2 linked regions of the Neodiprion lecontei genome follow. The protein of the gene in region 2 purifies or fractionates together with the protein of the main gene of each other region. This does not show direct contact. Links are inferred from orthologs where the notes say so. Each region holds a gene or a part of one and is shown on either strand. Other genes may lie near its edges. The genes, in order: EARP-interacting protein homolog and syndetin.

The links.
Region 1: the proteins of syndetin (region 2) and EARP-interacting protein homolog purify together in Homo sapiens (affinity purification with mass spectrometry; 4 studies listed by BioGRID and IntAct, counting the BioPlex papers as one, with this or other methods). This does not show direct contact. The link is inferred for Neodiprion lecontei from reciprocal best matches to the Homo sapiens genes VPS50 and EIPR1.

Annotation. Positions count from the first base shown.
Region 1 is NC_060262.1:28,533,081-28,539,351, forward strand, and holds EARP-interacting protein homolog, read right to left. Parts: upstream 4,022-6,271; 5' UTR 3,889-4,021; coding exon 3,847-3,888; intron 3,621-3,846; coding exon 3,395-3,620; intron 3,309-3,394; coding exon 3,088-3,308; intron 2,980-3,087; coding exon 2,798-2,979; intron 2,716-2,797; coding exon 2,419-2,715; intron 2,387-2,418; exon of another isoform or gene 2,190-2,386; coding exon 2,027-2,189; 3' UTR 1,991-2,026; downstream 1-1,990. Other genes in the region: RNA-binding protein pno1, read left to right, coding at 445-543, 658-747, 990-1,517. UniProt on the Homo sapiens protein: Acts as a component of endosomal retrieval machinery that is involved in protein transport from early endosomes to either recycling endosomes or the trans-Golgi network.
Region 2 is NC_060266.1:19,305,301-19,314,830, forward strand, and holds syndetin, read right to left. Parts: upstream 6,856-9,530; 5' UTR 6,656-6,855; coding exon 6,566-6,655; intron 6,317-6,565; coding exon 5,801-6,316; intron 5,360-5,800; coding exon 4,680-5,359; intron 4,610-4,679; coding exon 4,231-4,609; intron 4,057-4,230; coding exon 3,766-4,056; intron 3,659-3,765; coding exon 3,194-3,658; intron 3,080-3,193; coding exon 2,958-3,079; coding exon of another isoform or gene 2,954-2,957; exon of another isoform or gene 2,935-2,953; intron 2,826-2,934; coding exon 2,636-2,825; intron 2,540-2,635; coding exon 2,429-2,539; 3' UTR 1,865-2,428; downstream 1-1,864.

The sequences.
Region 1 (6,271 bases), on a different chromosome or scaffold from region 2:
TGCATTACTACTGAGGCCTGCAGGCGCACATTTAGAGCTTACTGTATATTCGGCTATTTTCTAACGAGTTGTCAGTAATAAAATTGCCATCAATATTGCACGAATAATGCTGAAGATATGCTAGTACCTGAAATTAAATCAACGTAAAATATGAATTTGATGTCATGTCGGTAAGTAAGAGCAAGTGATGTGTCAGATTTCGAATATGTATGTATGTACGAATCATGGTTATTTTGTATCGTCTATGATTGATAGTCACAGAATGCTGAGTCGAGTTATCCTTCGTTTCTCAACGTGTACGTCTATGGTTGAGAATTATAAAAGATCCAACGAGATCTTTGGCTCTCTGCAATAAAATATCCACGCTATTTTGACTTTTTACAGACATTTGTTTTCAAGTTGAAGTAAGATAAAAATTAAAACATATATTAAGTTTGGTAAAACATGACTGAAAACAATGTCGAGATGCAAACCAACGAAGAATTACAATCCAAGGCGAAGACGTCGGGAAAAAGACGCCAGAATAGTGAAACTCACATGGAAGTAAGAGGTTATGTTACTACAAATTCTTAGGTTCTCAGTATTCTTCGTCACTTTTAATCATAACCTGCTATTGTTCTATCGAATATTGGAAAATTTATTCATGCTGATTTTCAGGTCGATGCGGTGAATGGTATCGAAGGGAAGTCGAAAACTAAATCTTCTGTCAAACGAGCCAAAAATGTCCAAGGTGGTGAGCAACGGAAGGTGAGTATTCCAATGATCATTTCGCGATATAGTGAAACTTCTCTTAACAGCGGACACCTCTTTATAACGGACAAGTTAGAAGTCTCCGGTAGAAAAGCATAATGAAAAATATACCTTTTAGTAACGGACACTTCTCTATAGCGGACAAGATTTCTGGTCTCAAAGGTGTTTGCTATTAGGAAGTTTCACTGTAATGTCAACATTTCAACAACATGTTAAAATAATTCACGTGATTTCTTCAGGTTCCAGTGCCTGCGCATAGATATACACCGCTTAAAGAGAATTGGATGAAGATCTTCACCCCTGTTGTTGAGCATCTACAACTTCAAATTCGCTTTAATTTGAAATCTAGAAATGTAGAAATTCGTACATGCCCTGACACACCTGATATATCAAATCTTCAAAAAGCTGCTGATTTTGTGCGGGCATTCATCAATGGTTTTGAAGTCGAAGATGCATTGGCCTTATTGCGGTTGGATGATTTATTTGTCGAAACATTCGAGGTTCAAGATGTGAAACCACTGAAGGGTGACCATTTGTCCAGAGCGATAGGTAGGTTAGCTGGCAAAGGGGGTAGAACAAAATTTACCATTGAAAATGTGACAAAAACAAGAATAGTTTTGGCTGATACTAAAATTCATATTCTTGGATCTTTCCAAAATATACAACTTGCACGAAGAGCAATTTGCAATTTAATCTTGGGAAGTCCACCATCAAAAGTTTATGGTCAATTGAGGAATGTCGCTGGCCGAATATCAGAGCGATTGTAATTAAACGTTTCAGTCAAAACTCCCCAGCAAAATTTATTTTCTTTTTATGTTTACCATATTGCTAACAAACGTAAACCGTGTCAGTGAAAATAACAGTCTTAAATATTTGGATTGAGCAATTGTAACAGATTAGCAAATTCTCATTTGCTTCGATACAAACTGCTTACGTATAATTATGTGTATTTGTGGCTAACTTTTTTTTGTACACTGGAAGAAATACTTCAAACTATTGTACATAATTCAGAGAGAGGAATATAAATCCTACCTTTTGTCTATGACAAAAATTATTTCACATTTTTACTCATGGTTTCAATTATCTCTTGCGAGTTGTAACAAAGTATGTATGTCGAATAATTACATAATACTCTGTATCAACTGCAGGTTGATTGGTATATCAATAATATTGGTCGTCACTTGTACCAGTTGAGCAATTCTTTACTCTTACGCAAAATGAAAACTAGGTTTTTTCTAAATTTATATAAAATTTAATTCTTTATTACTTTTAATATTTACAATAGTATTTGGTACTTATATTTTCGTGGCACTTTGTTAATTACCAGTCTGCCATCGTAACTCAGTGACGCGAAAGTCCACGGGTCAGCAGATGACCATTCAACTCCATAAACACTGTCTTCATGCTCCTCGTACCTTCCTACAACGCTATCTTCCATTCTGAAATTGTTGGTTATATAAAATAGAATTGATCTTCAGAGTCGGTAATAGATCTCTAATCGATGCTTGATCAAAACTTGACTTTGACCCTTGAGTGTAAGTACTGGGCACATAATTGAGCAAGCTCTATTGAAAATTATTCACGAATCCCAATAATAACGAACATGGATTGATATTTATCTCATCATGCGTCATAAGGTGACAAAAAAATAAAATTGAATACGCCTACTTGTTTTTGTTGGAGCCATCATCGGTTTGCGCAGGTTCGTCTTCGCTTGAAATTAGGTGACCAAACGGTTCTGAAGAAATAGATGATATACTGCATAATATTACTCGAGAATCACTACTAGATGTTAGAACTAGTTGGTCGTGGAAACGGTTTATTCTGATACTCCAAACCCAATGAGAATGCTCCATTCGCGACATTACAGGCTCAGATGGCTGTCGGATATCCCAAAATTTCATATAGCCATCATCACCACAGGTTGACAAGATGTATTGACGGTTGGTGTTAAAATCCAGGTCTCTGCAATGTCGTAGGTTCAATACATTGTTGCTGAATTTGCAAAATTTAGTGAAAATATTTAGATGAGTTGATTAATCTTCACCTTATAATTTGAGAGTGAGCTGACTGGATTGCCCACACCTGATCAGTTGGATTTCTAAAATCCCAACCACGCACGTGGTTGTCATTTAATGTTACAAATTGATTGCAAGTATTATGTGGATTCCATTTACCAGTAGTAAACTTTGGTTGACCTTTACTAGCCAAGGTCCCTTGCGTAACTGCCTAAAATTTTGAGAAAATAATATGAAATTCATAAATTTATTAATATCTGTTACAGACTGAATTATCAATTGAATCGCAAATTGCCCTGTAAATAGCAAAGGGAAATACCTTGGGAGCACTAGCTGCTAGGTCCCAGAGTACAAAGTTATTGTCTACGACGGAAACAACTTTAGTACCATCCGTCGGATGATAAGTAATAATTCTAAGATCACTGCCATAAGTGGTTGTATCAATTTCTGCTGCATTTTCAAGTTTTTGGATTTCGTGTGCGTCAGTTTCGGTAAGAGGCAATTTCCATATAGCTCCTTTCATCTGACAAATTCCTTCATCTGACGAATTAGGTGTTTATCAGAATTATTCAGGTGTTTCTTTTCAAAAGTTAGTGAAGCGAATAAATTGCCCAATGATCACTCACCATTCAGAGTATTATAGCAAGTAATAAAATTTGATGGATCGGCAGGAGAGGCCTGTAAGTTCCATATTTCTCCAATCGAGTGCTGAAAGACTTGCGTTTTCAAACTACCTGTTTCCTCGTCAAGTTCAACCAAATGTACTTGATTGTCGTGAAACTTCAACGATTGCGTTCCGACCAGAAATCTCACGATATCAGCTTCTGCTGTTTGAGGTGATAATGCTCTAGCCTGAAATAAATATGAAATGTATTACTTAAGAATACGCTCTCAAAACATAATCGTCGAGTGAAAATCCTTTAACTGTGCAATGAAACTTGCAACAATTCATTCGTGATTTCCTGGCTTTCAAACTCTGAACGTCGGGTTAGGTTAGGTTAGACATCGTCTTACTGGTAAAGTTGAAATATGTCGAATGAAAGTAATAAGATAAACGTTGGTGGATTAACCTTCTTACTTGAAACTCGAGGCCATATATTATTGGATTGTCAGTATCCATATTTCGTAGAATAAAATAATTCCTTTGGGTCAGTGTCACTGTTGACAGGTGTCAAAACACACCATGCCGCAACAAAAAGTTTCTCAAGTACAGTCGTTCAAGTCATTGAGCTTAAACCCAACAGAGATCTCAACCATGTAATTTTTTTGAGGAAGAGCTTCAAACATCGTGGAACCGTATAGAAGTTGGACAAAACTTTCAAGGGTGTAAAATTTCCTTTCAACTTTCATCCAACGGGATGAAAAGCTTTTCATTTCCAAAGGACTTTATCTTCATTTTTAATGCATACCGTATCTAAATTCTTTAGCCTTTTTTTCAACCACCGTATCGTGTACCGCACACCCTAGTCTCGTCAGATGGCGCAGTCGTGCCACAAACCCCGCAGACGCCAGGCGCGGATCTACATGTGCCAGTTACTTCATGCCTGTACCGCGATTCAGACACGCATACGCACACAATGAGTTTTCATACGCATACATAGCAGGCCCCCCACCCTTGAAAGTCCCGAAGCAGCCGTCGTGGGGTCACCAAATAAATTATGTCAAACGGACCACAGTGGCCGAAAGCCGAACACAAACCCGTTGATTTCGAGGGCTCCTTGAGGTCTGTTGCATTGCGGGCGAAGTTTTGTATCGGTTTTGTAACATGTCCGATTAGCATCGGAGCCGTGTGCGTGGGTGCAGTGAACGTGTCTATACCTGTGCATTATTTTTAATAGAGTTATGCTGACGCCGCCGCACCAGTTGTAAGTAATATCCAGGATTCAGACGGTTTTTTTGTATTAATTTTTACGCCTTCGTCCCTGTGACGGATACAGGTTTACGGTTCAACGAGCCCAGCGGCTGTACCGAGGATGTTCAAAAACCCGATATAAAATCACATGTCACACTGTCCTTCTGTGCAGGGATGAGAGTATACCTGAGTGTGTGTCTCGCTCTACTGCTGCGGCGTTGTTTTTAATTCCGTGCAGTTACCTGTTTGCAAGACGGCCGTCGGTTCCATTAATATTTCTGCAAAGTTTCTCGCAACCGATATTTCGAGCCGTTGAATGATGAACGGTAAAATGTAATCTCTTATTCCTGAGACTATTCAAATGATCGAACGTTTTTACTACGATGAACGTGTTTGTACATGTATAGGATTTGCAAAAGTAAACAATATTCGTTCGCCCAGATTTTGCAAATAAACTTAAATCCTGCTGGCATGACATCACGTTAAATTCAACGAAGACGCAGTAGATAAAATCCCAGTTTATCAACGTGTTGTGCGATCTTCTCAAACTTGTTATATCCTTTGCGGTGATTAACATCGTCGTTTCGATTTCAAATTGTTTTTAGCTAAAATCGTTAGTTGCATTTGCAGTTGGAACGAATTCCGTGGCATTTGGAAAGGATATTTATTGGCAATTCATACAATCCTTGAAGGAAAATATCGAACGAACAATGCGGATCTTCGTGTTTAAATCAATGCAAATTGTCTCTTTTGCCTTAAAAAAGAAAACTGCTCAGCTCAGCAACGTTCATATGCCCGAGAAATAGACTTGTCTGTATCAATAACTGTAATTACTATTATACGTATAGTTGGCTTAGGCATCCTTCGTCTCAGACATCCTCTCTGCAACATGCTGTTATTTTTTTTGTTTACCAACGGTTCTCATAATTTAAATTATTGCCATGAAGTCGGTGCTTTCAGAGTGCAATTTCTACCAATCTTAGAATGATATTGGATTTACATCCGTTACACGTAATTTGTATAATTTTCGAGCAGCGAATTCGGCAGCTAATTGCCCGGGACAGTCGTCCCTTAAATTTATATTCTACATGCATTAAAAATATTATCACGCGTCGATAAATGCTTTTGCTCAGCTATTAAACGAGACGTCGAAGGGCTGCAAAGCGGTACTGACAATCATTACGGGTTTTTAATTATACAGGGCGAATATCTAACGTCTGGATTAATCATTTTGGAAGCCTTGTCCTAACGATTATTGATCTATTTATTCGCTCTGCCGATTGTACATATTTACACTTGTTAAGAACGGAGAAGGGCTAATGGGTTCGAAAACGTCGATTACTTAGTTAACAAGAACCTCTAGTTCATATGATGTGTATTGAAAAAATTTGTGCATCTTTGTCTATCATCTTTTATACGCATTTCGATCGAGGGTCAACAGCTGATCCGGAGACTCGTAGTAATCTTGATCGTCTTCTCGGCTTACAGGCTGAACAGAAATTATACCCTCGATTATACCCTAGAAACCCCGAAATAGCGATCAAATATTTACAGCAAGCACACAGAATGAGGAGTTTTACGTTCACAAAACATTATACGTCTATCGTAGAAAATTGAGAAACATTGACCCGGTAAATTAATTGTATTTGCA
Region 2 (9,530 bases):
ATATATGCAATACAATTAGCGATTACGTTTCTTCTTTCTTTTTGTTTTTTTTATTCATGTTCGACACGAGTGAAAATCGGCATATTGTAAATTAATCCCCAACTGCATATCGACAAGCCCTCAATCATAATGTTTCGCGACTTACATTCTTCATGTACTCTATGAAGACAATCTTCAGCAGCAATTTCAACATCTATAATTATAAATCAATTTCCCACTGTATTCAGACTTGTACTTATATTATAATTATGTGAATATTATATATATATACGATTATGATTGAGAGTCCAAATGATTCCGCGAGGTCACAGCAGTGATAATAAATCACCTGTGAACAACACTTTCAGATATAAAGCAGTATATATCTGTACGTCCTTGTTATACTCGAAATTATTCACTTTGAGAGTATATATTTATCGATTTTCGTGTGTTCAAAGGCATTTAGTTTTGTATTTCGACTACTAAAATGTCGCGTGTTTTTGCAACGTTTCCAATATAACATTTTTAAAAATGAGATTAAGCGAGCTATGCTTTATTGCAATATGTATATTATATAACCTAAACGCTTCTTCTATTACTGAAGACCTGTTATGTACATAAATTTATTATTTTTACGATTTAATTAATAATCCTTATAGTTTAGTCTACGTATTATTACTATTATTAATATTTACCGTCGTAAGTGATTCATGGTTACTTTAGGTAACTATTCGATTCTACGAGTGCTTAGTCCGTCCAGTGTGTCAATGTTAGTTTCAGCGGCATGTGCTATATAAATCGTGCAAAGAATTAGTAGTACAGTCCAAAAAATTTTCGCGTTCGTGTCATTTTGTCGTTACATTTCTTCGTACCATGTAATGGTTTTTCCCCTCATGATTTGCATGGCCGGAATTTGCGAGGAGAAAACAAAAATAATAAAAATAAATATAAAATACGAACAATGCATCACTATTACTTCTTCTTAAAAGTTGACGACCTTTTTTATATCGTAAAACTTTATAATCCCTAATTTAATATTAAAAATCGTTTCCTACGATAAGTGTAACTGCTATACCTGATATTATGGACCATAATAAAAAAAATGTATGTTTTTTTTGTACCTAATCAAACCACGTCGCTATAATTGAATTATACCTTTATATAGTGACAAGTATGATAATTCGTACAAATACTAGTACTTTTCGATTACTTTTAACTAGCCCAATTTATCGAGCAAACGTGACAAAGTTATAATAATATATTACGATAATGTATCATAATTTCTGTGACATAGAAGCAGAGAAAAAACGCGTTGTTTCTTTTACTACAATTTATATTCATAGATGAGTATGAAAAAGAAGTAAAAATTGTCAAATCCAGTATGAAAATTAGAAACAATATTATCATATTTAATGACAGCTGTAGAATAATTGCTAACAATTCTTAGGTGAATTTTGATAACGGATATTGTGGTGTGAGTCGAACAGCAATTTCTGACTGTGATTGCTGCATGTCCTCTGAGTTTCAATGCCATGAAATCAGTTGAAATTATTGGGAAGGCCATCAAATTTCGGAAAGTAAGCATTCGAATTTTAAGAACTAATTGGTTTATTACACACGTATCAGTTTTAGTAAGTATGAAGAATATCGTGTAACACAATACTTTAAGTTTCGTTTATGTATTTATTTACGCTATCTGATGAATTTATAAATAATTATATTCTGTTATAACAGCCTGAATTTGAATTGATAAAAAGTAAATTATTATTGAAAAGGAGATTAATTTTTTTAGGCAACATAATAAATTATGTGGTTCCTTCTATTTCTAAGTGTCATTTATGGTGCCCTATATCAGTCAATTTCAATCAATTCCTTACTCTATAAATACCTACAAATATGTCTTTATTTCACTTTTTAGGGATTAAAAATTCATAGTAAAGAATCGTATAAACAATGTACATAAGAGATAATAACTTTTCCAACGTGAGTTCAATGAGATTACATCGTAACTTGCCAGCAGGGAGATTTCGTCACGGTTTGGATTCGAAAATCGAAACCAGTTCAATTATTTTTATATCTATAAGCCTCCCGTCTGTATTTTATCTCTTCCATTTAAATCTTTTCTGAATCAATCCAAAAATATTTAACAACCGTTACTCGCACATGTTCAAATGAGAGATTCATATCGGTGTTTAACACAGAATGTAAGTATCATTAAGTAATGATATGCACCGATTTGCGAAATATTTGCTGTAAAGCTAGAATGTGTTTTTTACCTAACAGTTAGAGAAACTGTACAACATATACATAACAGTATTGACAACTTAAGTATCACAATAATTGTGTCAGATTTATATTATAATTATAGCAGAGCAGCAATTCGATAATATTCAAATTTTATAATTCTATTGCAACTTCGTTTTACAGTTATTGATCATACAGCTTGTTGTTATCTGCTCGGTCGTTCCTCCTCTATGATGGATATTAATCGCTGTCGGGTTTTTTTGTTGTTTTGACATCCGCACGATATAAGACCGATCAAATGTTTTGTAGAATATTCCTGTAATCAGTAGTAGGATCCATCAGACAACAATGAAATACGTTCAATCACAAACGGGCGAGTAATCATGTACTGTATATAAATAGAAATTCATACCTTATGTTGCTTTATCCATTCTTCCAATATGTTTTCAGGCAAATAATAAGCCTTGACGTATGCCTCGACGTATTCTCTGTGCGGCATAGGTCGCAAAGATGTTAATTTTTCAAACTTCGACATTAATTGGGTAAAATCCAACTGCATCAAGGCTCTGCCTCCATTTGAACATTTCTTTGCATTCGAGAAACTGAAATCACAAATTCAACCTGCTAGATTCAACATTAACGAACAATTTGAATGCCTACGTATCCATTCAGAATATCATATTCATTTTTATGTCAATACATTCAAATTACTTTGATCTGTCCGAAGTTCTTACCCTTCGACTAAAGTGTGTGTGATCAAGTGAGCAATATTTTCCCACACTGAATTGTACACTATTATAGGAAGTGGTATTCTGTTCCCAATTTCCTCAAGCCTCATGCTTAAAATTTGAATGTCCTGAAACAGGAATTCGTTTCATTGCTACTGTATTTGTACATTATGACATAATTGTAACAATATCATCAACTTTCCGTTCAGAACCCATTTTCACAAATGTTTGTCACTAATTACCCTTAATAGATTGTCAATATAACTGCTGTGCTGTGACATAACATCTCTCACTTCCCAATTAACTTTCGACATCAGCGTTAATATACCGCCAACATCGAAGGACTGAGATGCAGCAGCCATGTAAACAGGTTTTCGGAGATCTGTAGCTGCTGCAATCGTTTGGGAATAGAATTGATGAAGAAATCCGTGGCAGGGAGAAGCTACTAGGTGCTCCAAATAAGGCCTCAAAATTTCGTACTGCTGTCCCAAAAATATCAGAGATTCAACGGCTATCACTCTTTTCATCAAGCCATGAATTTTTTCTGGCTGAGTCAAGTTCACTATCGAAGAGAGACACGGTTGTGTTACTTTATGTGACTGAGCTCCACTCTCAGTCGTAACTGCACTGTCTGCCATCAAAGTCTCGCGTATTCGAGCCAAGGTCAACTTTAATTTTGGAGTGTACAACGTGTCGCTGTTTATTTGCTGAAATAAAATTTTGTGTCGTAATATAGTAGAAATAGCGTGGTAAATTTAAATGCAATTATAAGCGATTTTTGTGTAACCTTAATGCTTAATCGTGAGAAACATACCAGATCCGAAGTGAAGAACATGTGTACAGTGTAAAGACACAGTTCAAAGAATTGTGTCATATTTTGAATAACAGTAACAGCAATGGATCTAAATAATCTTGACATTTGTAGATACTTTCCACAAACTCTGAGCACACTCAACGTTGTGTTTGTTACCATTGGCCCAGCAAATTGTTGTTTATGTTTTTTTTTCGAGGGTTTCGATTGGTCGGGCTCATCTACAAAATCACATTTCAGTTCCTCCGGAATGTCGTCGTCAGAATCGTCTGAAAAATACCCAGAAGGTGCATCCTGTAAAAGGTAATATACTCTTTATAAAACCTGGTGATTGAGTGTTTAAAAAAATGTCTAAAATAAATGACAACTACTACAGATTGCTAAAAGTTTTATTACTTTTAACAACACTTTCTTGCATTCTAATTAATTATTAACGAACTTTGAACAATTTCTTTCATTTATACTTACTCCAATGTTGGCCAAAATGTCTTCGTCAGCAGCTTCATCCAGGATGACATCAAAGGGCGTTACACCGTTATCCAAATATCTTTGGACCAGTCCTCCAATGACAGAACTACCATCTTGACTCAAGGTAGATTCGTCAGGGCTATTGCGAGGCTTACAACTATTGAGGACAGTCTTCAAGCTTTTAAATTCTTGCAGTTGCGTGACAACGAACGATGGCTTAACAGGACAAAGTTCCCAGCCATCATTTTCCAAAAATATCTTCAACTCGTCTAATCGAGACGCGTGGTAATGAGCAAAGTAGGAAGAGCACTGTTTTCTTATTGATTCTTGGAGATTCTCTGACTGACTTGAGCAGAGCTCTTCCCCAACTTCGATTAACCTAGAAAATTGAGGAACATGGTTCAGGACGTCTCGTAATTCGACAGTAAATGTAAAATATCAGATCTCACCTATGAACGATTCCCAAAATTTGTACAAACTGCTCAAACTTGAAGTAGGCCAAATCAGCGCCCAACAAATACGTGGATATTTTGGTTTCTACATCGTGCCACATTCTGGACATTCCATTTTCCAGCTTTTGCTTAACATACTGTTTATTAAAGGTAGCTTCTAGATCTTTTTCTTCAGTCTCATCTGACCAGCTTTCATGCGTATTGTGCCAATTGACAACTTGACAATAGGAAATTAAAATGGCCCAGAGAGACTTGCACAGTTCGATTAAACAAGGTAGAAATGTCTCGTGCGAGACTGACTGGCAGAGCTGTTTATAAGGCCTTTTTGTGTCACCACCGGTGAAAGCGTGAACTGCCATAAAAGCAACGTTATGAATAGCTGCTGTAAAGTGCATGTGAAGTTGGTCCATTGCCGTCTGGGTTTTTCCGAGAAGTCTGTACGCTCCTTGGACAGACAAATACGTCCCAACTTCAAATTCTGTACACATTTTTGCCAGCGTTTGATCCAGAGTTTCTTCCGCCTGTTCCAAGGTGTCCTGGAGTTTCCCATTCAGTGCGGCTACGCAATGAAAATGTTTATATCTCTCAGCAGCTCTTTGGCATTCAAGGAGCAGCGATATTGCTCCTGGGTAATTCCCTTCGTTCAGAAGTTCCTGAAGGCGGTCCTCTGTTCGTTGCTACGCTTTCGAAGAAGAAAAAAACAAGCATTGAGTTAAAAAAATGTGTGACGCTCAAGTATTTGCCTATGTATATCAACTATTCGTACTTCAAATCTGCAACTAGTTAGATAATTTTATCGTTATGTTATTTCTGCAAGCTCGAAATAATGTTTCTATTTATATTTACAATTAGTTAAAAAGAGTTGGTAAAGAAAAATTGCAACATTGAATTTTAAATTAAATTAAATTATTAGGCTATCTGTAAAGAACAAAACAAATTTGAACTCTCCAATTTTCCAAGGGTTTTCACAGGGAAAACTTAAAAAATATTCCATGATATTTTTATATGTATTAAAAGATTGATATCGATGTGGAATAGTTTGTTATATGTTCAGACTAAACAATTCACCTGGTTTTTGGTCTAGAATCACTGCACGTGTAATATCAGTAGGAACTCACTAAGGTTTTTATGGTGTTTAAACTATGCAGAAGCCCTTGAACGACTTGTTTCTTTTGATAGTTAGCCAAAATCCCAAGACTAGCAGTGGTGAACTGTTTTTTAGCAAGGCTTAAATCCATCCTTCCACTTCGGCAAATTTCCAAGGCATTTTGAAGTTCTTCTTGAATGTACAAGATTCTTTCGAACTCCTTTTGGCATAAGCTTTGCTTTTGCAATATTAGCTGTAACACTTTTTTAGAAACAACTTGGTGCTCTTGTTTAAGCCTTTTGTAGTCTCTTTCGATTACTTTAGAATTCAGAACTTCGGGAAGTTTCTGTAACTCATGACGACAACAATCAAAGCAGTCATCGCTCTCGTAATACACAGATTCTATGGATTCCAGAATGTCTTGATCGGGAAGCAGCTCGCTTTCAGTCGAATGACTAGCATCGGACTGAATGTCGTTAAGGCCTTGAGATTCGATTGGGTTGAGGAGATCGGGATTCAATCCCATTGACGGGATCTTAGCCTGATTCTGAAAATAAAAAAATACAAATCAGTTTTTCGCCATAAAAAAAGCAACTGTTTCGAGTCTTCGGTTAGTTTTACTAGCGTTCGAGAAGGTGGCACACATACTGGTATCGACAGAGTGCCAAGTGAAATTTTACACTGAAACAAAGTTGTATACTATTGTGAAACTCATTGAGGAAGATGCAAAAATGTAATAGTAGGTAGAGAGCAATTTTAAATCAATTACAAGAAACAAGCTGAACAAGGAACTGACCTGCTTGTGAATCAGCGATAAGAACTTGAACTTGATATCCTCCATGTCGATGTGTTTTCTCAACAAAACTCCCACTTTACTTTCATCCATTTATATAGCTGTTATAATAGAGGCTGTTACCACCTCTGCTCAGCAATGAATCATCCAAATAATACCGTTAGCACACGCGCTTTCTGGACATTTGGAGGACTTATTTCTATTCCACGCACCGTGTCATGTGTCAAGACTACATCAACGTTATCAAGGCTGTCAAATCGGTAAAGTTAAGTCTCGCGACACGAAAGCTCTGTCATCGATTAAAAAAAAGTATAGAGATCCGAAACCTTAATAGCTCGCAGGCCGCTTTCCTTTTACATCAATTTTCTGACACGACACTATACTAAGTAATTTCATTGGCCTATTTCATTAGATCCGTCCAATGAAATCTCTTATAGCGTTTTCCACTGGTTGCACTGGGTGCGCACTGGCTCGAACAGGGGGCACTCGTTCCGTGCATGCATCGCCCGGCATCGGGGCAAACCTTCTGAGTGGAACAGGCCGTAAAACGTATAAAGGCAGACTAAATCATAATTTCTCCTAAATCAGAAATAATGTGACGTTACTTGACCGACTGCGCGACTGTCAGTTTTTCAAGCAAGTGGTAAAGAAGCCAATTGAACAAATGCAACGGTAATTTTTTGTTTGTAAATAAATGTCACAAATGTTAGACACGAGCATACAAGGGCAAAAAAAATTGACAATTCCGCTGAAAAGATAAAAATTAATAAGCAACAAGTCAAGTTTTCCCAATCTCCTGAAATATACCTAGCAGTTGACCTCTAGAAGCTGAAAAAATGTGTATCCATACTTCGATATCGGACATGCTGTGGATTACTCCTATGAAATTTAAAATTTTGGGAATCTCTCTATCTTTCGGCTCCAGCAAGCATCATCACTGCTGAACGACGATGAAATTAGATCTAATAAAAGAGTTGCTGTCTCAGCATCCACTTCGATTCTTTCACGATCGGCAGCCATAATTGCAATGCTTTGACACCGACTCCCGATTTGAGTGCTAGTATATTGCGTGGCAAGCGCCGAAAAGAGGTCGTTGCAGGGTATGCGATTTGCCCGGTAAAACGCAAGTCCTGCTCGACCTCTTTACGGCGCGAGCCATGTATTCTATTTGTCGTTCCATTTTCCCGCAAATTCGGCATTACGCGTCTGTTTTCAGATCGGATAAGGTTTTTGAGCTGGCACTTAAAAACAAACCTTATCCGGTCTGAAAACAGACGGAATGTACGATGTATGATGATATGATATGATATATGTATAATGATTTTAGTTTCTACATTTCAGACAAGAAATACGCACTTTATCTTTCCTGCCGTCTCCAGACTCAAGCGGCTAGACCCTTTGATGGTCAGCCGTTGACTAAGGATTCTTCAGTTAACGGGTCAGCTAATCACACTGCCGTTCTGCGACAGTTGAATGATAAAAATGTTTGCTCGTACATTTCAAATGTGTGTTACAATATACTCGAAGTTTTCAGAAGCTTCATTCTGTCTCTCTTTATTAAAGAAAAAAATCGCCGACAATCACCTTTTGAGAACTTTAAATCAGGACGCTGCGTTAAATACTCTCTCATATACGAAGTATCCATTTCATCTCGATCAAAATTAGCGCATCCGTTATGTATTACAGTTACTCTGAATTTTATTCCATACGAACACTTTTCCAAAAACAATTCTGTTTCTCTACCCAACGTAGATACTTCACTTGCGACTAGCTGAAACAGCGTTTCGATTCTATGCGTACGAAAATTCAAGATCGAGGCAACAAATGAAAAGTTGTTGGAATAATTATGAATAGTAATGTAAATACATGGTTGAGCAGTGGGACGAAGAGGACGAAGGTGGTCGAAGGTGGTTGGAGGTGTTTGGAACTAGTAGGCGGCGGTAGACGGTACGAGGTGGCAGGGTGTGGTAGAAGGTGGTTGGTGATGGTAAGAGGTGGTAGGAGGTGTTTGGACGTGGTTGGCGGTGATCGGAGTTGGTCGAGGAGGACGAGGACGACGAGGATGATGTGGGGGTTGTGGCGGAGCAAGACGAGGAGGGAGACGAGGTGGACGAGGAGGACGAAGGTGGTCGATGGTGGTCGGAGGTGGTTGACGGCGGTTGGCGGTGGACGAGGTCACGCTTCTTCTCACGGGGATGATCGAGCTGATCGACATTTTTAAGTCGCAGTCGACAAGTAGTCTTACGTACTCACTTTGTACCGACTCAATCTCGAGCTTTCATACCGACACTACTTTGGCTGGTACGAATGCTGGTGCGAGCTCGTTGGCTAGAGTTGATAGAGCAGAACCCTGCTACGCTCCCAGGCCCGCCTGGGCCCACTTGCCGGGCGAAAACTGGTCACAAAAATGTACCCAGGGGTATCCGTCTTTATGTTCTTCAGTCAACGCACAGACTCAGCCACCCCACTGATGTTTTTCTAGTTCTTTCTGCTGTAAAAGCATCGACTGAAGCTAGTCAACGACAAAAGCTCTGCTCATCGTGCAGGTGAAACGCGGGAAATATGAAGTACTTTGTACTTTTGTAGACTTAACTAGTGCTGGTCTTCAAGTGAAGTTAACACTAAGTCACAGTACATAATAACACAATGTTAATTAATTTGGCTCCTTTCTTCTGGTAATTTGAATCATAATTAAAGTTTATTTGACCGCTCAAATGCAACTTTTTTAATCGTAACTATGGTTCCCCATATTCTTTTATCAGGTACCGTCATTTTGGCAATTTTACAGTAGGAAAAGAGTCGGTAACAACGGTAGCGAACTAGTGGATGAACCGGTCTTCTGCATTGAGAGGATACTACAGTCCGTCTTTATCGGCCGCCTTTAAATATCACTTATTTTAACTTATCAAAGCCTACGCATCACTGCTGTGAAAATACAGCAGCTAGTGCAATTTCATGTGCAATGCCG